Linked DNA regions of Stegostoma tigrinum. The protein of the gene in region 2 interacts with the protein of the main gene of each other region in a pairwise test. Links are inferred from orthologs where the notes say so. Each region holds a gene or a part of one and is shown on either strand. Other genes may lie near its edges.

Region 1 (7,820 bases), on a different chromosome or scaffold from region 2:
AACAATTATATACCTGAGCCCCTCGTTCTCTCTGTTCTACAGCACGACCTCAAGGCCATACCATTAACTGTATAAGTCCTGCCCACGTTAGTTTCACCAAAATGCAGCTCCTCGCATTTACCCAAATTAAACCCCATCTGCCACCTCCTCAGCCCATTGACCCAATGATCAAGGCTATGAACCTTATCGACGTCCCCTCCTGATTTGACAAACCTCTGCAAGATCACCCCTCAAATACCCCATGCTCCGGTAGGCCTAGGCTGTATGGCCCTTCCTCATCAGGCTCCTGACTCATTCCTGGAATTAATCTGGAAAACCTTCTATGAACTGCTTCTAATGCATTGACTTACACATTGATATAGAATCCCTGCAATGTGCAAGCAGGCCATTCGGCCCAACGAGTCCACACCAACCGCGGGAACGACATCCCACCCAGACTGACCAATCTGTAATCTTAGGTAAACCTTCTTCACTCTCCACTCCACCACCCATTTTGCTTTTATCTTGCCTCCTAAAGTCTCGTCTGCCGCTCAGCCGATTTCACCTGCTATGACCACATGCCGTAAGAGGTAGATTGTAGTTTTCTGGTGGCTCCTCACCTTCGGAGTGCTGTTCGTGAATCATGTTGTCTCTGGGAATTCTGCTTTTGTTTTGGTTCGCTCAGTGGGGCTTGAGGAGATTGAGATCTTTTTTTTTCACAGCGAGACAGTTTGAGGGTGAATTAAGTTAATTAGACTCACTGCCTGTTTGTCCAATGTAGTGTTTGTCACAGTTCTTGCAAGGTATTTTGTAGGGGAGTGTGGTTATGGTTTCTGGGCCCGTTTTGTCTGTTTGTTTGGGTTTGTTGCTGAGAAATCGGTGGACTGTGTTCATAGGATACCCATTCTTTTTGAATACGCTGTACAGGTGATTTTCCTCTGCTCTGCGTAGTTCCTCGGTGCTGCAGTGTGTGGTGGCTCGTTGGAATAATGTTCTAATGCAGCTTCGTTTGTGGGTGTTGGGATGGTTGCTCCTGTAGTTCAGTATTTGGTCCGGATGTGTTGTTTTCCTGCAGACGCTGGTTTGAAGTTCCCCATTGGCTGTTCGCTCTACTGTGACATCTAGGAATGGCAGTTTCTTATTGTTTTCCTCCTCTTTTGTGAATGTTACGCCAGTAAGGGTGTTATCCTTTTTTCTGATGAAGGGTCTAGGCCCTAAACGTCAGCTTTGGTGCTCCTGAGATGCTGCTTGGCCTGCTGTGTTCATCCAGCTCCATACTTTGTTATCTTGGATCCTCCAGCATCTGCGGTTCCCATTATCTCTGGTTTGCGATTACAAACTGGTTCAACCGAACGGAGTGTTTCTGTTCTGCAGGACATGTAGCATTGCTGAGCAGCTGCAATTCTGTGACACATGTGGCAAAGTTTCTGACTGGTTACTAAAAATAGTGTGGGGTGTCACTGAACAGGACTTTAAAGGTGACAGGCAACGTGACTAGAAGACAGTGTGCGTGTGATAGTGAGACGGAAAGAGAGAGAGAGGCATGCTCCAGTTCAGGAAGGGCTACTGTAAGCTCTGCTGCAAAAGGAACTGAATCACCGAAGCTCAATGTTGCTGGGGCTCAGGGAAGTCTTTGTCACCCCCTCCAGCCCCCTACACCCCCTCCCTATCTCTGTGCCCCCCTCCAACCCCCTACACCCCCTCCCTATCTCTGTCACCCCCTCCAGCCACTTACACTCCCTCCCTATCTCTGTCACCTCCTCCAGCCTCTACAACACAACCCTCGCCCCCCCCCCCCACCAAACTCCTTATCCCCATGTCCCCCATGGCAAGTCCACACTAACCTGCATATTTTAGCACGGCCAACCCACCCTAACCCGCACATCCCTGGGCACTACGAGACAATTTAGCACGGCCAATCCACCCTAACCCGCACATCTCTGGGCACTACGGGACAATTTAGCACGGCCAATCCACCCTAACCCACACATCCCTGGGCACTATGGGACAATTCAGCACGGCCAATCCCACCCTAACCCGCACATCCCTGGGCACTACGGGACAATTTACCACGGCCAAGCCACCCTAACCCGCACATCCCTGGGCACTACGGGACAATTTAGCACGGCCAATCCACCCTAACCCGCACATCCCTGGGCACTACGGGACAATTTAACACGGCCAATCCCACCCTAACCTGCACATCTTTGGACTGTGGGAGGAAACCAGAGCACCCGGAGGAAACCCACACAGACACGGGGAAAATGTGCAAACTCCGCACAGTCAGGAGGGTGTGTTCGAACCCGGGTCCCTGTTGCCATGAGGCAGCAGTGCTAACCACTGAGGAGAAATTGAGCGGTTTAGTTGGATTCTCTCTGGTTTTGAGAGGAATGAAAGGAGGTCTAATTGAGGCGAAACAGACATGAAAGGAGGTTGATAAAGTAGATGTGGAGCAGATGTTTCTCCTTGTGGGGCAGCCTTGAATGAGAGGCCAAGGGTTTAGAATAAGTTTTAAAACAGAGATGAGGAGGACCGTCATCTGACGAAGGAAATCTGTGGGGCTCAGGTACGCAGAGAGCAGTGAATGCTGGAACGCTGAGTAAGTTGAAGGAGGAGATTAGCTTGTTTAACTCAATTTATTGGCAACAGGTTGCAGGGAGCGTGCAGGGCAGTGGTGTTAAGGCCAAGTTGAGATCAGCCATGATTGTGTTGAATGGCAGAACATCCATAAACGGGCTGAACGATCTGCTAGTTACTGTGTTCTAGTGTAAGTAGAGTCAGCTGAAACATTTCCCTGCTCAGTTCAGTTCCAAAAAAATTAATTGGATCACTTTCTGCGGAGGGACATTGGCAGCGCTAAAGGTGGGGTGCAGGGAGCTAGTATTGTCACGCCGGGACGAACGGCCTCGCCTTGTGCTGTGACCAAAGGACGGCCTTTCTGAGAAAAAGTAACTGGTCCAGTCTGCTTTCTCCTTGTATGTTCTTTCCACGTTCAAATTTCGATTGTCGGGAAAAACCCGTGTGGTTCACCAACACCCTTTAGGGAAGGAAACTGCTGTCCTTACCTGGTCTGGCCTACACTGTAGGGCTGGAAGAACACAGCAGGCCAAGCAGCATCTTAGGAGCCTTCCTAGACCCTTCTAGGCTCGAAACATCAGTTTTCCTGCTCCTGAGATGCTGCGCTACCTGCTGAGTTCTTCCAGACCCACAGCAATGTGGTTGACCCTGAAGTACCCAGCTGCTGACCATAATCATAGTCCTTGTGCCGTTTCCCCTGTTCCTGACCCCCTATCCCTTCCCTATTCATGTCCTTATTCAAATGTCTTTTTAAACATTGTACCAGTGTCTGCTTCCATCGCTTCCCCAGCCGTTCATTCCACACACGAACCGTTCTCTGTGTTTTAAACAAAAGGTTGCCCCTCGTGTCCATTTTAAATCTTGCCCCTCTCACCTTAAACCCATGTTCCTCTGCCTTTGGTAACAATGTGTAGGGCTGGAAGAACACAGCAGGTCGAGCAGCATCTTAGAAGCCTTCCTGGACCCTTCTAGGCCCGAAACGTCAGCTTTCCTGCTCCTGAGATGCTGCGCGGCCTGCTGAGTTCTTCCAGCCCCACACTTTGTTATCTCGGATTCTCCAGCATCTGCAGTCCCTGTTATCTCCTCTGCCTTTGGACTCCCCTACCCTCGGCGGGGAAAAGACCTTGGCTATTCACCTTATCTGTGCCCCTCACGATTTTATAAACCTCCAAAAGGCTTATAAGCTCAGCCTCCAGTGAAGAAAGGTCCCAACCTAACCAGGCTATTTTTATACCTCAGGCCTTCCATTCCTGGCAACATCCTGTTGTATCTTTTCTGAACCCTCTCCAGTTTAACAATATCCTTCCTATAACAGGGTGGGCAGCACTGGACGTTGAAACAAAAGCTCGGAATTTCGACACAGCCTGAGGGGCTCGGGAATGCAAATAGAGGAATTAGGAGCAGGATTAAACAGTCAGTCCATCTCCTCGAGCCCCACTGTGCCATTCACAATCGTTTTAGCTGATCTCGTTACTCCAGATTCTCGCCTCTTCCCCCGACAGCTTCCCTCACCCCCATCTCGCTTCAGAAGACTATATCTACCCCGGTCTTAAAAATATTCAAACTCTCGGCTCCCACCGTCATGGAGTTACAGAGTCATTGAAACTCAAAACCTGGTGATGAGCCACTCCCTGTTTGAAGAGAGCGGCCCTGACTTTGAATCGGTGATTCCCCCCTTGTTCTGGATTCCTCCCCAAGAGGAAACATCCTGTCCACAAGCCCTCCCTGTCAAGGCCCCTCGGGATCTTAACGTTCACTCAAGACTGGCAGTGTTTGATGGAGGAAGGGGGGGAAACGGTGTAGAGGGAGCTTTACTCTGTATTTGACCCTGTGCTGGCCCTGATCTGGCAGTGTTGAATGAGGGGGTACAGTGTAGAGGGAGCTTTACTCTGTATCTAACCCCATGCTGTCCCTGGGAGTGTTTGATGGCGAGGGGGAAACAGTGTAGAGGGAGCTTTACTCTGTATCTAACCCCAAGCTGTCCCTGTCCCTGGGAGTGTCTGATGTGGGGGAAACAGTGTAGATGAGGCTTTACTCTGTATCTGACCCTGCGCCGTCCCTGTCCCTGGGAATGTTTGAGGGGGTGGGGGGTGGGTGGACTGTGTCGCTGGGGGGAGGGGGCGGTGAACCTTGCTGTGCATGGTGTTGCGATGGAATGTAAAGAATAGAGGGAAAATAGGCCAGGCCGGAGAACTTTCTGGAGGAGGCTGTGATGGTGAATTCCGAGGAACCAGGAGACCATCAACTGTTGTGCATGAATCAGCGAGTCTATTCTCATTGAGTTAATGTCCCCAAAGGCTATTAGCTGAACACTGCTGAAATAACGCATGACCACACATGCACACACTCTCTCTCTCTGCTCCTAAAAGCCCACTCAAGCTGCCTTCGCTCCTTCATTCATAAAACTTGCAGAAGCTGTCTGAGTAGCTTCTTGTCATTTTTTTCTGTCTCCTCCACCCACCTCTCTCTCTCTCTCTCTCTCTCTCTCTCTGTGCTGCTGAGTTCCCCTCCCATTCGAAGCCTGTAGCAGCTTCTGTCCAGGAGTCATGAGAACCCGGGCTGTAGCTCTCTGGCCTCTTTCGCCCTGCTGCTGATGGAGATGTCTCCTCATGGATTGACAGAGCCCACGAAACTCCGAGGCAACAGACAGTCCAGGAGTCAGCCCTGCCCTGTCCCTGTGGCTGTCAGGCCCTTGCATGGTTGTACACCGCTGTTGCCTGTCATCTCTTGTGTGTGTGTGTGTGTGTGTGTGTTGTCGGACCATGAACCCTGTTTCGATCAGTGCAGAGGGTCTGCATTCTGGACTGTACAAGTCTCCTCGAGAATTCAGCAGAAGTTTTTGCTTTTAATCTGAGCCAGAGGGACCGATCAGTTCACCTGACTCGGGAGGGGAGGGGGGAGGTGTGCAGCGAGCGACAGATTTTAAACATATTGCAAGAAATATTCCTTTCCCCGACACCCACCATTGCCCCAACCACATGCGAAAGCAAGCGTACTCCAGCCCTCGCAGGCCGTCGTGTGTTTGAGCCGTTTGCGAGCTGGCTGGTTCTATTCGTAGGGGAGTTAACAGCAGATCCGAAAGGGGGCTGGGTTCAGACCCAGGAGGAGGCCGGAGCATGAGAGAAGGTTTGCCCTCCCTGGGTGAGTACAGCCATGGATTTACTGCATAGGAATAAATACAGTCACTTACACAACGACAGCGCGTCTGAGGCCGTCCATGGGGAGGCGCTGGTCCCTCCTTCCTCCTCCTCCTCCTCCCTGGCTCCTATACTGCCCCATGATGGGGGGGAGCTGTCCTCAGGGGCGGAGGACAGCCCCACCACCCTGTGCTCCTTCTTCCCGAGGATGGGTAACCTGAAACTCGCGAACCCGGCGAGCCTGCTGCAGTCGAAGGGGTTCCCCGGGGAAGCGACGACGGTGCCAGCCCCGGGCAGCGTGAGGCCTGGTGACTCAGGAGCTGTGCCCATCTTCTCTCCCTCTCGGCAGGACATGAACAGGCTGGGCTGCGGAGGAGGAGGAGGTGGAGGAGGAGGTAAGAAGACACGGGTGGAGGGCGGCCAGCTGGGAGGAGATGAGTGGACCCGGCACGGTAGCTTTGTGAACAAACCCAGCCGTGGCTGGCTTCACCCAGACGACAAGGTGATGGGGCCTGGCGTCTCCTACCTCATACGGGTGAGTGCCTCTGAGACTCTTCTGTGTAATACCATTCCCTCCCTCCCTCCCCAAACCCTCTGCAGCGTCTCAACTGCCCCCCTCCAGCTTCTCCTACATTGCCTGCTGTACTTCAGTTGCCCCTGCACCCCCTCCCACGTAACACCCCACTGCCTCCTCGTCTGCACCCCCTTCCCGATTTCCCCCCACTGCCTCCTCGTCTGCACCCCCTCCCACTTACACCGCACTGCCTCGTCGTCGGCACCCCCTCCCGATTTCCCCCGACTGCCTCCTCGTCTGTACACCCTCTCAATTGCCCCCCATTGACCTCCCGTCTGCACCCTCTCTCAATTACCCCCCACTGCCCCCGCGGCTGCACTCTCTCTCAATTACACACCCGCCCCCTCGGCTGCACCCTCTCTCAACTACCCCCCACTGCCCCTTCGGCTGCACTCTCTCTCAATTACACACCCGCCCCCCTCGGCTGCACCCTCTCTCAATTACCCCGCTGCCCCCTCGGCTGCAACCCCTCTCAATTGTCCCCCACTGACCTCCCGTCTGCACCCTCTCTCAATTAACCCCCACTGACCCCTTGGCTGCACCCCCTCTCAATTACCCCCCGCTGCCCCCTCGGCTGCAACCCCTCTCAATTGTCCCCCACTGACCTCCCGTCTGCACCCTCTCTCAATTAACCCCCACTGACCCCTCGGCTGCACCCCCTCTCAATTACCCCCCACTGCCCCCTCGGCTGCACCCCCTCTCAATTACCCCCCACTGCCCCCTCGGCTGCACCCTCTCTCAATTTCCCTCCACTGACCCCTTGTCTGCATCCTCTCTCACTTGCCCCCACAGCTTCCTCTTCTGCACCCTTTCTCAAAAGCCCCCCCACTGCCGTCTTGGCTGCACCCTCTCTCAATTGCCCCCCAACTGCCCCCTTGGCTGCACCCTTTCTGCTGGTTCTCCCTTCTTAGCTACACCCTGTTAATGCCTCCCTCCCCCACCGTCTCTCATTTCTTCCCTGCTCCCTTTCAGTCCCAACCCCCGGACCGTAAATGTTTCTCTCCACCCCAGTCATTTCCCCTGCACTAAACTCTGGCCAGTCTGTGGCAACTCACTCTCTGCCTAAATAAGCATGAGCTCTGAACAAACATTCCTGCTGACTGCAGTGCACTGTTTCACAGAACAGTTAGCATCCTGTCTCCTGTTCACACTCTGGATGTGAGCGTCTGCCTTGCCCTCTGTCTCCATGTCGATAATTTCTCTCTCTCTCTGACTCTGTCTGTCTCTCTCTCTCTCACTCTGTCTGTCACTCTCTCTCTCATTCTGTCTGTCTCTCTCTCACTCTGATCTGTTGTCTCAGCCTGTTTGTCTTCTTCTATCTCTTGCTGCCTCTCTCTCTCTTTCTCTCACTAGCTTTCTTTCCTCGCTGTCTGTCTCCCCTGCAGTCGCTCCCCTGTCGCTCTCTCACTCTCTGTCTCCCCTGCAGTCAGTCGCTGTCTCACTCTCTGTCTCCCCTGCAGTCTGTCGCTGTCTCGCTGCCTGTCTCCCCTGCAGTCTGTCGCTGTCTGTCTCCTCTGCAGACTGTCGCTGTCACACTCTTTCTCCCCTGCAGT
Region 2 (7,931 bases):
CTGCTTGGCCTGCTGTGTTCATCCAGCTTCACACTTTGTTATCATTGCCCGATTGTTTCCTTCTTCTTTCCAGCTGGCTTGGAATGCTAAGATAATTGGAAAGCTCTTGCTGCAAACACTGGATAAGATTGAAAAGGTTTGTATAGAACCTGCAACCTTCTTTTTCTCTGTAGTTCTGCAGCCCACTAAGCATGGATTCATTGGGTTAGCTTGAAGAAGAAACAAGTTGAAGCACGCTGCAGAGCATGCATGTGTGTGCTGGTGAAGCACTGTCTAAGCACTGTCTGTAAAAGCAGAGTAAAACACTTGTTTAATATTTTGGCGCTAAGAAGGGTGCGTACACATATTTGCCTTATTGGGAGTCAAATGATGTTTAGCCTGGAAACATTTGCTACCAGATGATTAAAGATTAATTCCCGCAAAAATGTGCGCCTTTAAATTAATCAAAATATTACAGTCATGTCCTGTCATAGAAGTGCTACCTAATTACAGAATGTTAATGAGCTAATTCCAGCAAGTTTGTATTTCATAATATAATAAAATGTGAGGCTGGATGAACACAGCAGGCCAAGCAGCATCTCAGGAGCACAAAAGCTGACGTTTCGGGCCTAGACCCTTCATCAGAGAGGGGGATGGGGGGAGGGAACTGGAATAAATAGGGAGAGAGGGGGAGGCGGACCGAAGATGGAGAGTAAAGAAGATAGGTGGAGAAGGTGTGGGTGGGGAGGTAGGGAGGGGATAGGTCAGTCCAGGGAAGACGGACAGGTCAAGGAGGTGGGATGAGGTTAGTAGGTAGCTGGGGGTGCGGCTTGGGGTGGGAGGAAGGGATGGGTGAGAGGAAGAACCGGTTAGGGAGGCAGAGACAGGTTGGACTGGTTTTGAGTGGGTGAGAGGGGTGGAGAGGTTGAGGCGGTTAATGTCTCGACGGCAGTTGGAGATGAAGAGGTCGAGGGAGGGTAGGAGGCCTGGGGGTGGTGTCCAGGAGGAGGACTTGTGTTGGAAGCGGGTGAAGGGGTCAGTGGAAGGAGGGTTGGGTTCCCGGTTGAAGAAGTAGGCATGCAGGCGAAGACGGCGGAAAAACTGCTCTGTGTCCGACCGTGACTGGTATTCGTTGATGTGTGGTTGTAGGGGGACAAAGGTGAGCCCCTTGCTCAGGACTGACCGTTCGTCCTCAGTCAGTGGGAGGTCTGGGGGGATGGTGAAGATTCGGCAGGGCTCAGGGTGGCTGTCTCCTCTGGGGTTGCAGGCTGTGGAGGTTCCTGAGATGCTGCTTGGCCTGCTGTGTTCATCCAGCCTCACATTTTATTATCTTGGAATCTCCAGCATCTGCAGTTCCCATTATCTCTGATTGTATTTCATAATTGTATTTTTCACATCATTTTACCATGGTTTCGGAGACTCTCATCATCAGACTGAGTTTTACTGACTGTGGCTGCCTTACTGAAGAAGTAACTTCTATTCAGACCCTTGCTTGTAACATTTATGGGAAGGTTGATAGTGAGGGTGCGACAGGGAACCCACAGTGGCTTGGTCACAGCGGGTAAAAATGAAACAGTCTGTCTTGTCATGTCTAGTCATCCAGGTCAATGGCCTTAGTTTGTAATTTCTACAACATTTACATTTTTGCCACCTTCCCACCCAAAATTTGCTTATGGAATCAGGGACATCCCTGGCACGGCCAGTATTTATTACCTATTCTTAAATCATAGAAGCAGGCCAATCAACAACAGTATTTTGAACAGCATCCATGCAGTCCCACCCCCTACCCTATCCCTGTAAACCTGCATTGCCCCATGGATAATCCGTCTCACCTAAACATCCCAAAACTACGGGCAATTTTGCAATAGCCAATCTACCTAACTGCACATCTTTGTTCTGTGGGAAGATCCCAGAGAAAACTCCACACAGATGATCACCCAAGGCTGAGATTGAATCCAGGTCTCTCGCAGTGTGAGGCAGTAGTGCTAACCACTGAGCCATTGTGTTGCCAATGGCTCTTGAGTAGGTATTGATGGGCTGTCATCTTGAGCTGTTACAGTTCATGTGGCTCAAACCATGACCATGCTGCTGGGAGGGAATTTAGCAACAAAACCTTCCACTTTTATAGTGCCTCTATGTGGTAAAAAATCTCAAGCTACTTCACCGATGCATATGGAAACAAAATTTGACCCTGAGCCATACAAAGAGCTATTAGGACAGGGACAAAAAGCTTGGTCAAAGAAGTAAGGTTTAAGTATTTTATTTAAAGGAGGATGGGGGAGAGAAAGATAGAGGAGCTGAGGTGGGTTATGCAGGATAGTCAAATGTTCAAAGTCAAAACAGCTGAATGCATGGTGAAACGATTAAAATTGTTAATCCACGAAAGATAAAAATTTGATGTATGGCGATATCTCAGTGGGTCTTTGTGCTGGAGGAGATTACAGAGAAAGGGAGAGGTAAGAACATGGAGGAATTGGCAAACATGAAGGAGAATTCTAAAATTATGCTATTTTGTGATTGGGAGCCAATGTAGTTCTGTGAGCACATGGGTCTTGGGTGAATGGGACTTGGTGCGAATTAGGACAGAAACAATAGAGTTTTTAATACACTGAATAAAAACCAAAAGTACAGCGGACGCTGTAAATCATAAACAAAAGCAGAAGCTGGAAAAGCTCAGCAGGTTTGGCAGCATCTGTGAAGAGAAACCAGAATTAACGTTTGGGTCTGGTGACCCTTCCTCAAGGCACTTCGGCTGGTGTAAAATCTGAAAAATACCACACAGATCCAATAGGGGGAACTCTTTTCAGCTGGGGCAATAGGCACTTTGTTGGAGTGGAGTATTTAACAAATGGTATTCCTGGCTGATAGCTCAATGCTGACACTTGATACGCAAAATGCCAAAAATATATCGTTATTCAAAAGTGAAAATTTAGCACAGAATGAATAAATATTTTTTCAGATACCAAAACATTTAAAAAGTCCAGTTTGAGAATACATTGCACAATATACGAGCATATGATCAATTAACAAGTTTAAATTGGCTACAGTGACAAAGCTGAGGATACCCCAAAAGGTACTTAATTGGCTGTAAAATGTATTGAGGTGAAGGAGGTCACGAAAGGTGCTTATAAATATTCAAGTTTTTTTTAGCTAATTCCTTTTTTAATTGATAGGGGCGATGATAGCCTAGAGGTATTGCTGCTGAACTGTAAATCCAGAAACCCAGGTAATGTTCTTCAGAGATAACAAGGTGTGGAGCTGGATGATCACAGCAAGCCAAGCAGCATCTTAGGAGCAGAAAAGCTGACGTTTCAGGCCTGGACCCTTCAACAGAAATGGGGGAGAGGAAGAGGGTTCCGAAGTAAATAGGGAGAGATGGGGAGACAGATCGAAGATGGATAGAGGAGATGATAGGTGGAGAGGAGACAGACAAGTTAAAGAGGCAGGGATGGGTTTAGGCCGGAATCATCAGCTTTCCTGCTCCTAAGATGCTACTTGGCCTGCTGTGTTCATCCAGCTCTACACCTTGTTATCTTGGATTCTCCAGCATCTGCAGTTCCTATTATATCTAATGCTCTTCAGATCCGGGTTTGAATCCTGCCATGGGAGATGATGGAATTTGAATTCAATAAATATCTGGAATTCAGACTCCGCGAAAGCATTGTTAATTATCAGGGGCGGAAAGTCCATATGGTTCATTCATACCCATTACATGTTCTGGCTGACTTGTGTCTCCAGACCCATGGTGATTTGCCCTCTGGGCAATTAGGGAACGGTCAATAAATGTTGAATGAATCCTGTGAATGAATAAAAAAAATTCACTAATTTGTCTACAATGTTCAGTAATAATGATACCTTTGACATATGAATACACCTCAAAGTGCTGCACTTCAGACTGCATGAAAGAGATGAGCAAACAATTTCATCTAAAAGACGGGGTGAGAGAGTGATAGAGGTACAGTGAGATTTAGGAAGAAATCTCAGGGCTTCATACCTGAACAACTGAGCACAGTTCCTAATAGTGGAGCAACAGAAAAAGGGGTTTGTAAGAGGTCAGGATTCCAAAATCAGATATCTCAAAGATCGTCATGGGGCTAGGCGATACTATCCATTCTTGGGATGTGGGCATTGATGGCAGGATCAGTTACCCTTAAATTGATTGGCTTGCTAGCCATTTCAGAGTGCAGAAAACAGTCAACCATATTATTATGGATGTGGAGTCACATGTAGGCCAGAATAGCAAGGACAGCAAGTTAGTTTCTTTCCTCGTTACAGAAATGGATTATACAAAAAGGGAGGGGACCGTGATAGAGGACTTTGAAAAAAAGGATGAGAATTTTAAATCTAATTATTTTCAAAGTTGATGCCAATGTAGGCCGCTACCCACTGGGGTGATGGGTAAACAGGACTTGGTGCGAGTTGGGATACAGATCAGAAAGTTTTGAGTGGGCCCAAATTTATGAAGGAATTGGAGGTCTGATAAGGAGAAAATTGAAGGGAATTAAAGAACATTAATGCATCTGCTGAAATGCAGGATTAAATAAAAGTACACATACTCATCAAACATTGCTATCGTGCTACCTTACATTGTGTAAAATTTCAGAATGCCCTTTTCGAATAAATATTATCTCGTCTCTGAATTGTTCTTTTGCCTTCAGTCCAATCCAATCTGAGGTGGCTCCGCTCACATTTTCAATGTCTCCGAAACAATGTGTCTTGTAAAACCTGTTTTCTTTTTTATCTTCTCGCATCCACAGTCCAGATTTTAGATTTCTCTCTCGCTCTCTCGCTCTCTCTCTGTCTCTCTCCGTTTTTAACAGTCCAGTCCATGAAACTGTAAACTCCTGGTTCAGATTTTTGTGACTGTCGAGGCTCACTTGCTCTCCCCTCCCTCTCCTCACTGGGCTGGCGGTGCTTGTTTACTCGACACAGCCAGAAGAAGTTTGCGCGTGGTTTAAGGTTCAAGGCTCCTCTGCTCCTCAAAATCGTATTTTTATTTTGTTGCTTGTCCACCAGTTCCCCTCCCTCAAAAAAAGAACAATTACATTTCAATTTATTTTACAAAGAAGAAACACAAGAGAAAGAGGAAAAAAATAATTGGGAAAAAAAGAAAATCAGTTTGGAGTGTGTTGAAGCCAAAAGGGGAAAATACCTTGAAGGATTTTGTTATGCAGTTTGGCGCCTGGTGTTCTGATAATTTATTAAACATTTTTTTTGTTTTGTTCCAATGGTGAATTAGTGATCTCTTTGATGTTTTCTTTGGGCGACTTTGCAATAGAGGAAAAAAAAGAAGAGGAAGCCTAGGCAGAAAGCCAAAGAAAATCAAGTTGATATCGGCTCAAGGAAAATTGTCTTGGAGGATATTTTGGTTTATGTTTGTCGTTTTCTCGACAGATTGTTTCCTGAAGGGATTTTATTTTTAATTCTCTCTCCTCAGGACTGGTAATGTGGGGGAAGAAAGCGGACAGTTTCATCTTCCCGTGATATCATCGAGTTAAAAGGAAATATAAATATATGAAAGGAGTTTGAATATGATATAAAAGAGAAGGAAATGAGGGCTTTCTTGCACTGGGGACTTTGCAGTGAAGCTACAAGCTTTACAACTCCAATGTGATTTCCAGAGCTTTTATTTTGCAGAAGACAATTGAGGAAGATTTCTTCTGCTGCTGTGGAAAAATTAATCCACCAGAAACAAAATAAAGGAGAGGGGAGTTTTTTTTTATTTCCTTGTTCTCCCCAACAATCTCGCCAAAAAAGATTTTGTGGACACGGGTTGAAAAAATACAGATTATTCCCCCACCCTCATAGACAGAATGAAGAATTTGTTCCAATTTAACTGTCAAGATCACTTTATTTAATATTTGTTCAGAGACGATTCAAGAAAATTTCATTTGGAGGGGTCCCTAAAATAGTTGTTATTCTTTGAGAGATTACTTTCTTTTGAAAAAAGCTGCCAGTTCGAAGTGCTGTCCCAAAAACAACTTTTATTAGGCTTGCTGTACATCCCTGAGTTTTATTTTGGTTTTTATTCAGTTATATCCAAGGCCTGTGTGCTTGTGGGGACCGTGGGTTTTGATTTTGATCTGCACCAGGAGAATTCCAGTTCCAGGATGGGGAGGAAGACTTTGATACCAGCCATGGTGACCCTCTTCATCCTGGCCAATATTGGCCCAACAGAACCAAAAGGTAAGTGTTTAAAAACCTTCAAACTAAATCAAGCTTTGTAATTTCACAGTCATTAAGGTTTACAGATAATTTATTCTGACGCGGGTGCATTTTTCCTTCTAAAATTCTGCTAATTTGTGTGAAAATTTAGTCCTGTCAACCTCTTCTCCCAGATTGCTGTAGTTTACGGCCTAATGTGCATCCCAAAGCCTGGGTTTGGATTAGAGAGGGTAGGGGCGACACCTCACACGAATGTAGCTGCAGCTAAAATCGAGAGTCGGGGATGAAGCCTGGACAGGCCCTGTTTTCTTTAATGTTCAGTTTTAAAACAAAAACCTCATTTCTTCCAATGTGAAGTTGTTCTTTTACCATTCTGACATTCAAACCGATTTCCCAATTTTGCTTGGATTTGTAACTGAAGATCTTTTTTGAATGTTACAGTCAGAGTAAACACATTGGTGAGAAGGCAGGACAGATGCAGGTTATTTAAGGAGAGAAAACATCAATTTTAATTGTCTGTGTGCGTTTCAAAAGACATTAATGTTGAAGCTCCTCATTGGGATTAATATGCAGGTTGACAGATTGTGATGGTTTGATTTGGAAAGAGTATGAGATTAATTTGTGAAAACTCTGAGCTTTCCATATCGGAACCTTGAAAATACTGATTTGTTATAAAACACTGCAGGTATTAAAATACCTCTTTTCCAGAATTTTCTGTCATTGTGTGAGTTTTTTTATCTCGCAATTTCATTCTAACGTTAGTGATTATGTTGATTTCTTGGCTAAGTGTATGAATCTGGACATGATCACTGATCCACTTTTCAAAAGTTGTTTGAATCCCTGGAATACCAGTGAAAATCCCATGTAATAAAAAGGAGATTTGACTTGTTCGGTCAGTGCATTGAAAATGGATAAGAGAGCATTCCTCAAGCATTAGGCACAGCCTGAGATTCCATGTAATATAAAGTTGAATTTCACTGATTCATGGTTATATGGTGGCTCTTTGTGTCAAAAGTTGGATCATTAAAATGTTTTTGTAAACTGGGTTCTAGTGAAAGTTGTGTCTGTGACTTTAAGAAAGACTTTCATTCCTACTTTTTAAAAAAACACATTGTGATGTGATTTATTGCCACCCCTTACTAATGTTTCATCTTTTTAAAATATCTAGCATGGGAGAAAATATCACTTATGAAGTGTGCCCCATTATTTTAGAGAATGCTGTAATATAGAATTTAAAGTTATCCCAATATTATAGACAGAAATGTGCATTTTAAAGAGTTCTTTTTATCATGTGGCGACAGTGTTATTGTGGGCGAAGATCTTTCACCTGTGGAAGTATAGATTACAGTCAGATCTGACCGCAGCGGGTGAGAATACATTGTCATCCAGGAGATGATTCTTTGCTGTTCAAGGCAAGCTGGCTAGTAAATAAGAGTCACTTTCACAACTGCAAAATGTGTCAAATAGATTTTATTGAACACTTTTGTTGATACTCCTTTGAAATCCAGCTTTTAAATGCTGCTGCTTTATTTAGTTTACCCTCCACCTCAACCCCATTGTTTTGTTTCAAAAATATTGTGAATTATGTGTTTGGTTTGACCGGCACTTGCCCTGAAATTTTTTTTTGTATTAGAAATTCCATTTGCTGTGAGAATTCAGGTGTACGAGCTGTTTCACTGGAGTTCTGGATACTACGTGTTTCGTCCTGGAGAAAGGGAGTTGTATTAATATTGTACTTTTCACGGCCACTAGACATCACTAATTGTGGTTTACAGACTGTGAAGCAT
Region 3 (7,498 bases), on a different chromosome or scaffold from region 2:
TAAACAGTAACTTATCAAATCTCAAACATTGAAAAGCAGATGCAATAAATTATTGTGAAGTACTGCGTCTATGCGCACAAATGCAGCAGTTTTTAGATAATGTTTTAAGAGGCAATAAAACAAAGGTCAGTTAATTGATCCGTGATGACAATTGTGGATGGAGGAATGAGTCAGAACAGGCTCCTCACACCTTTTCAATAAAGGATGTAGAATCTTTAATATTCACTTATAAAGATTTGAAGGAATACAGGCTCAGACATTTGATGGCCAGAGTTCTTGGAACAGAGTAAATTAGAGGACCACGTGGAATCCTCAATGCTTCTGACTATGAGAATTGCTCAGGAAACAAATTCTTTAGGGTAATTTGCACGTCCAGAGCCCTTTGAAGAACCCATTAAAAGAGGGGAAGTTGAAGAATCCCAACTTGCATGAGCTTTACAGATACTAAAGAAAAATGGGTTAAAAAATGTAAATGTAATTCCCACTTAACTACTGACCATCCCTAATTCCCCACTGCACCACTCCCTACATTACACTGCACACCACCAAACCCCAACCGTGTTGGGATGATATACATACTCTCACTGACCTGAATGTGAGATGTACCTTCCTTCTCCTCCTGATCTTTTACTTCTGGAAGTCACATCCTGCCCCTTCCTGAAATCTGAGTCACAAACCCAAGCTCCCACTGATGGGCCAGGTACCCCTCACTCTGCCTGATAGTCTAACTTCCAACACACTCAACCCCAGGCCTGATGTTCTCCACCCACCAGTCAGCCCCAAGACATCCCCCTATCAAGAATTAAACAACCCACAGACCCCAATTACCCTAAACACTCATTCACACACCAGGTACATGCATACTTACCTATTCACAGGAGCTGTCAGCAGTGCTTTGCCTTGCTGGACATTTAAATACCAGACCATGGCACACTGACTACGGCCACAGGGATTGGGGTTTTTAATGATTATTTTCCTCACTGCTGGATTCACAAATTTTTGGACAGGTTCATAACAGGAAGCCCCTATTGGGAATCTTGAGATTTCTTTACATAAAAGATAAAGCAAATAAATTTTAATACAATTGGGGATGGAAATAGAACTTCCAAACCCAATTAGCAGAGCAAAGCAACACAATAATGTATGCATGGAATTGTTATAATGCAACACTCTGCATGGGCGGCATGGTGGCTCAGTGGTTAGCATACAGTCTCACAGCGCCAGGGACCCGGGTTCGATTCCAGCTTTAGGCGACTGTCTGTGTGGAGTTTGCACATGCTGCCTGTGTCTGCGTGGGTTTCCTCTGGGTGCTCCAGTTTCCTCCCACAGTCCAAAGATGTGCAGGCTAGGTAGATTGGCCATAGTGTTCAGTGGTGAGAGAGTCTGGGGGAGATGCTGCAAGGGACGGTGTGGACTTGTTGGGCCGAAGGGCCCGTTTCCACACTGTAGGGAATCTGACCTAATCAATTTGGATCACAAGCCAAGCTTCATGCTTCAGTCCACAAATCTCCCAGCCTAAAAAATAAATGCATAACTGGATGAATAATCTGAAAAACAGAAAACAATTGAAGTTTAAACTGAACACCCTCAAAACATAACCCAATTTCTATGTTCATAATTTGGGCCACTGCTATATTTGAATATTTTAGCACAGTTTATTAAGCTGGCTGTAACAAATGACTAATCGTTAGCATTGCAACAGTTCTAAACAATGTCACAGTTAACATTCTGACAAATGATATTATTTGTAAAAAGCTTTCCTAATATTTCTGAGGACTTATTTGTATTTTATCCCACAAAGGCAGAATTAAAGTAATCATTTTATTTTCATTAAACGTCATAAAACAAAGAATTGCAGATGCTGGAGATCTGAAACTAAAACAGAAATTTACCAGAGAAGCTCAGTAGGTCTGACAGCATCTGTGGGAAGAAAGTAGAGCTAATGTTGAGTCCAGTGACTCCTCTTATAAAGAAGATGCTCTGATGAAGAAGCACTGGACTTGAAACATTAACTCTGCTTTCTTCCCACAGATGCTGATAGACCTGCTGTGCTTCTCCAGCAATTTCTGGAGAGGTTAGATTTCTCGGCTATTTCCTTGATCACCATTAACAATTTTCCCATTTCAAACTGTAATGAGCCTGCATTTGTCTTCACTTTTTTTCACCTTTTTACATGCTTATATAATCTTACTGCAAAATTTTCAGCATAGCTTATGGTTTTACTCATTTTATTTTTGCCCTCAAAATCAATCTCTAGGTCATCCTTTGGTGAATTCCAAATGGCTCCCATGTCTCAGATTTACTACATTTTCTAATAAGTTCACACAACTCTTTGGATTTAATACTATTCCTAATTTCCCTTACTGGCAACAGCTGAGCTTCCTTTGCCTGAGCATTGGAATACATTCATTTGTTTCTTTAATATTCGCTATTACCTAGTCACCATAATGCCTAGTAAGCAATCACAGTTAACTCAACACTAATATCTTTCTAGTTTCTGTTCTTTAGATTCCATACCTGGTTTCAGACTGGATTACTTCATTTCAAAACCTGATAAAGGAATTCACGTAATGGACACTTGTCTACAATTAAAAAGGTACCCATAAAATTATTATGGCTGTGAATGGCTCAAAACTATCTTTGACAGCACAAAGAGCTCACACAAAGAATAGGTTAACATCATTTGCGAGCGCAGAAAGCAGTAGCCATTTTTAAAGATGTGTAATAGACACAGTATATTTCCTGTAGTGCCAAGTTGATCTCACAGAAAAGCCAACCCACTATTTTTGACCAAAGTCTTGAATTTTCCCATATATTTTACTAAAATTTCACCTTAGTTATTCACAGATAATTTATATTTTAAGGCAATTGCTGGACGGTGTTCATTCTCATCTGTCAAGGAAACTGCCCAAAATGTACCCTTACTCCAACGATGGGGATGCAAGTTGCATTCAACATTTTATTTTTCAAACAGTAAAATGGTAGTGACCTGTAGCTGGAGATAAAGTGCTGCCATCCAGTTTCAGGTTTGGTGGGATTTTGTTTTCAACTCCAGGATACTGTTGCATTTTAATAGCAGGTTTTTTTTATTGGGTTTCATTTCTTTGTCAGAGTTTCAAAAGAATGAACTCAGTAATGGAGAGAGCTCGCATCCACTTATTGTTTCACCGAGGGTGACAGAAAGCTTTTGGACACTGGAGCAAAAAGGAGAAGATACAGGGTCATTTTGTGAAAGAATGATCAGGTTTTTATGTACGAGGAGAATAATCTGTTTGTTCTTATCTGCTGACCTTAAGAGTTTGAGAGAGAGCATTCGATGATGGTATGACAGATTATGGCTCTCACAGCCCTGATCATTTACAACAATGCTGGATCACAGAAGTATCGGCAACTACTGTAATTCGTGATCTTTTTTCCTTTATTTGTTGAGGGATCAATTGGGCTCCTGTTAATGATGTGGTACCCATGTAATAGTCGACCCCATAAATGTAACCTTAAGAAATAGTCTAAAAAACAGCATTTATATTTGTGTAAAAGACAAGACACAGAGGAGCAAAGTAGAGATAGCTGATAAATACTGGCACTGAATGAATAGTTCAGAAGTCAAGATAAAACACTTTTAGCCTGAAATGTAACACCGTGACCTATTCTGGGCTGGATTTGCTACCCTAGAGTATCATTTTTGCTATGCCTATGTTAATCTGTGTCAGATCGGGTATATTTTTAATACATTGACAGTACATCAATACAGGATTAACTATCTCACCCTGTGATTCTCATTTACAGTTAATTTTCAATCAACCTTTTCAATACCAGAAGAATAGCTTTTGCAGCAGTATCTTTAGAATGCTGCATACAATTCTTGTCACCCTCCTGTACAGAGGATGGTGTGAAACTTGAGGGGGTGTTGAAAAGATTAACAAAGATGTCATCTAGACTGGAGGGTTTGAGTTATACAGAAAGGACTGAATAGGCTGGGGCCTTTTTCCCCTGGCAGAGGCACTGAGAGGGTGACCTTATAGAGACTTATAAAGTCATGAGGAGCATGGATGGGGTGAATAGCCACTGTCTTTTTCCTACAGTGAGAGAGCCCAAAATTACAGGACACTGGTCTAAGATGAGAGAGGAAAGATTTAAAAAGAACCTGAGGGATGACTTCCCCACACCCCCTCCCCACACAGAGGGTGGTAAGTGTATGGAACAAATTCCCAGCTGATGTGGAACGGTTCTAACAATAAATGTCCAAAAACACTGACAGATCACTACTAAAGCTATATGAAACATAAGCCACATTCATAGCCAAAATTATCTACTTTTAGAAATAACTCTCTGTGCAAACAACTGCAGCATTTAAAAGGCATTTGGATTTAGTATATGACTATGAAAGGTTTAAAATGAATATGGACCAAATGCTGGCAAAATCAGTCTAGGTCAGATTGGGATGCCTGGTTGATGTGGACAAGTTGGACTGAAGAATGTGTTTCCATGCTGTATAACCATTAAATCTGTACAGCACAGCTGCATGACTGCATGAAAATAAAATCAATGCACACAGGACTTGGTTGTGACCAACTGACATTACACCTCCATCTATAAGACAGGGGAGGCTGCAGCTAGGTTAGCGTTCAGAGTACTCGATAGCAGTCAATCCTTTCTGATTGCACAAAATCAAATCTTGGACAGCCGCTGCTCAATATAACAAAGTGTGGAGCTGGATAAACACAGCAGGCCAAGCAGCATCTCAGGAGCACAAAAGCTGACGTTTCGGGCCTAGACCCTTCATCAGAGAGGGGGATGGGGAGGGGGTTCTGGAATAAATAGGGGAGGGGGGGGGAGAAGAGACGGACTGAAGATGGAGAGAAAAGAAGATAGGTGGAGAGGAGAGTATACGCGGGGAGGGGATAGGTCAGTCCAGGGAAGATGGACAGGTCAAGGAGGCGGGATGAGGTGGCAGGTAGGAAATGGAGGTGCGGCTTGAGGTGGGAGGAAGGGATGGGTGAGAGGAAGAACAGGTTAGGGAGGCAGGGATAAGCTGGGCTGGTTTTGGGATGCAGTGGGGGGAGGGGAGATTTTGAAGCTTGTGAAGTCCACATTGATACCATTGGGCTGCAGGGTGCCGAAGCGGAATATGAGTTGCTGTTCCCTGCAACCTTCGGGTGGCATCAATGTGGCACTGCAGGAGGCCCATGATGGACATGCTGTCTGAGGAATGGGAGGGGGAGTTAAAACGGTTCGCGACTGGGAGGTGCAGTTGTTTATTGCAACCGAGCAGAGGTGTTCTGCAAAGCGGTCCCCAAGCCTCCTCTTGGTTTCCCCAATGTAGAGGAAGCCACACCGGGTACAGTGGGTAGATACAGTATACCACATTGGCAGATGTGCGAGTGAACATCTGCTTAATATGGAAAGTCATCTTGGGGCCTGGGATGGGGGTGAGGGAGGTGGTATGGGGGCAAGTGTAGCACTTCCTGCGGTTGCAGGGGAAGGTGCCGGGTGTGGTGGGGTTGGAGGGCAGTGTGGAGCGAACAAGGGAGTCACGGAGAGAGTGGTCTCCCCAGAAGGCAGAGAAGGGTGGGGATGGAAAAATGTCTTGGGTGGTGGGGTCGGATTGTAGATGGCGGAAGTGTTGGAGGATGATGCATTGTATCCGGAGGTTGGTGGGGTGGTATGTGAGAATGAGGGGGTCCTCTTGGGGCGTATGTAGCAGGGGCGGGGTGTGAGGGATGTGTTGCGGGAAATGCGGGAGACGCAGTCAAGGGCATTCTCGATCACTGTGGGGGCGAAGTTGCGGTCCTTGAAGAACGTGGACATCTGGGATGTACGGGAGTGGAATGCCTCATCCTGGGAGCAGATGCAGCAGACGTGGAGGAATTGAGAATAGGGGATAAAATTTTTGCAGGAGGGTGAGTGAGAGGAGGTGTATTCGAGGTCGCTGTTGCAGTCGGTGGGCTTGAAACGGACATCAGTGTCTAGCTGGTTACCTGAGATGGAGACTGAGGTGTCCAGAAAGGTGAGGGATGTGTTGGAGATGGCCCAGGTGAACTTGAGGTTGGGGTGGAAGTTGTTGGTGAAGTGGATGAACTGTTCGAGCTCCTCTGGGGAGCATGAGGCGGCGCCGACATAGTCATCAATGTAACGGAGGAAGAGGTGGGGTTTGGGGCCCATGTAGGTGTGAAGAGGGACTGTTCCACGTAACCTACAAAGAGGCAGGCATAGCTTGGGCCCATGCGGGTACCCATGGCCAGCCCCTTTGTCTGTAGGAAGTGGGAAGAATCGAAAGAGAAGTTGTTGAGGGTGAGGACGAGTTCGGCTAGGCAGATGAGGGTCTTGCTGCAGGGGGACTGGTCGGGCCTGCGGGACAGGAAGAAGCGGAGGGCCTTGAGGCCATCTGCATGAGGAATACTGGTGTATAGGGACTGGACGTCCATGTTGAAAATGAGGTGTAGGGGGCCAGGGAACTGGAAGTTCTGGAGGTAGTGGAGGGCGTGGGTGGTGTCACAGACGTAGGTGGGGAGTTCCTGGACCAAAGGGAAGGAAACGGAGTCCAGATAGGTGGGGATGAGTTCGGTGGGGCAGGAACAGGTGGAAACAATAGGTCGACCAGGGCAGGCAGGTTTGTGGATTTTGGGAAGGAGATAGAAGCGGGTGATGCGGGGTTGGGGAACATTAAGGTTAGAGGCTGTGGGTGGGACGTCCCCTGAGGTGATGAGGTCATGGATGGTGTTGGAGATGATGGTTTGGCGATCACTGCTCAATATAGTTTGTCTTTTTAAAAATCCAGCACACGCTATAGAAATTCATTTGTCACAGGTGATGTGGCTTGCAGAGTCTATATATAGATTAAAGTTATCCATTATTGCTGGATTACTACAATTAGTGTTGTTTTACCTAATCATATTGTTTTATCACGTTATGGGTCCACCAAATCACTACTAAAATGTTTTAAGAAATACAAAGCACGTTCGTACTCAAAAACACCTACTTTTGTAAATAACCCTCTGTACATACAGCCTAGCATCAAAAGCTTCAACATTAAAACTTGCTTAACCTACATAACTGACTGCAGCTCTAAAGCAAACTATTGCTGGTAAATGCCTTGTGGCACCTCATTGCCGATATTTTGAGCACAAGCTTACCTACTTTGCTTCATGTCACACTTAATTTTGCTGAGAATGACCAAACTGGAAGTCGGGGTGTGGGGAGGAGACAGTTACATTTACAGCAACTGTGGACAAGCTTAAGGGCAAATTTCATTCCACTTAGAAGCATTCTCTGACACTTCCGCCATGTACAATCCGACACCAGAGTCATTTTTCCATCCCCACCCTTGTCTGCCTTCCACAAAGACCACTCTCTCCAGGACTCCCTTGTCCGCTCCACACTCCCCTCCAACCCCACCACACCTGGCGCACTTCCCCCTGCAACTGAAGCAAGTGCTACACTTGGCCCCACACCTCCTCCCTCGCCCCCATTCCAGGCCCCAAGATGACTTTGCACATCA

What was found.
Region 1: the proteins of insulin receptor-like (region 2) and shc1 interact in a two-hybrid assay, tested with the Homo sapiens proteins (2 studies listed by BioGRID and IntAct). The link is inferred for Stegostoma tigrinum from reciprocal best matches to the Homo sapiens genes INSR and SHC1.
Region 3: the proteins of insulin receptor-like (region 2) and mad2l1 interact in binary tests that used the Homo sapiens proteins (3 or more experiments, as listed by UniProt). The link is inferred for Stegostoma tigrinum from reciprocal best matches to the Homo sapiens genes INSR and MAD2L1.

What each region holds. Positions count from the first base shown.
Region 1 is NC_081400.1:5,338,473-5,346,292, forward strand, and holds the start of shc1 (SHC-transforming protein 1), read left to right. Parts: upstream 1-4,800; 5' UTR 4,801-5,709; coding exon 5,710-6,228; intron 6,229-7,820. UniProt on the Homo sapiens protein: Signaling adapter that couples activated growth factor receptors to signaling pathways. Participates in a signaling cascade initiated by activated KIT and KITLG/SCF.
Region 2 is NC_081383.1:6,991,495-6,999,425, reverse strand, and holds the start of insulin receptor-like, read left to right. Parts: upstream 1-4,918; 5' UTR 4,919-6,089; coding exon 6,090-6,165; intron 6,166-7,931. UniProt on the Homo sapiens protein: Receptor tyrosine kinase which mediates the pleiotropic actions of insulin.
Region 3 is NC_081354.1:68,625,615-68,633,112, forward strand, and holds the start of mad2l1 (mitotic spindle assembly checkpoint protein MAD2A), read right to left. Parts: upstream 3,084-7,498; 5' UTR 3,069-3,083; coding exon 2,990-3,068; intron 1-2,989. UniProt on the Homo sapiens protein: Component of the spindle-assembly checkpoint that prevents the onset of anaphase until all chromosomes are properly aligned at the metaphase plate.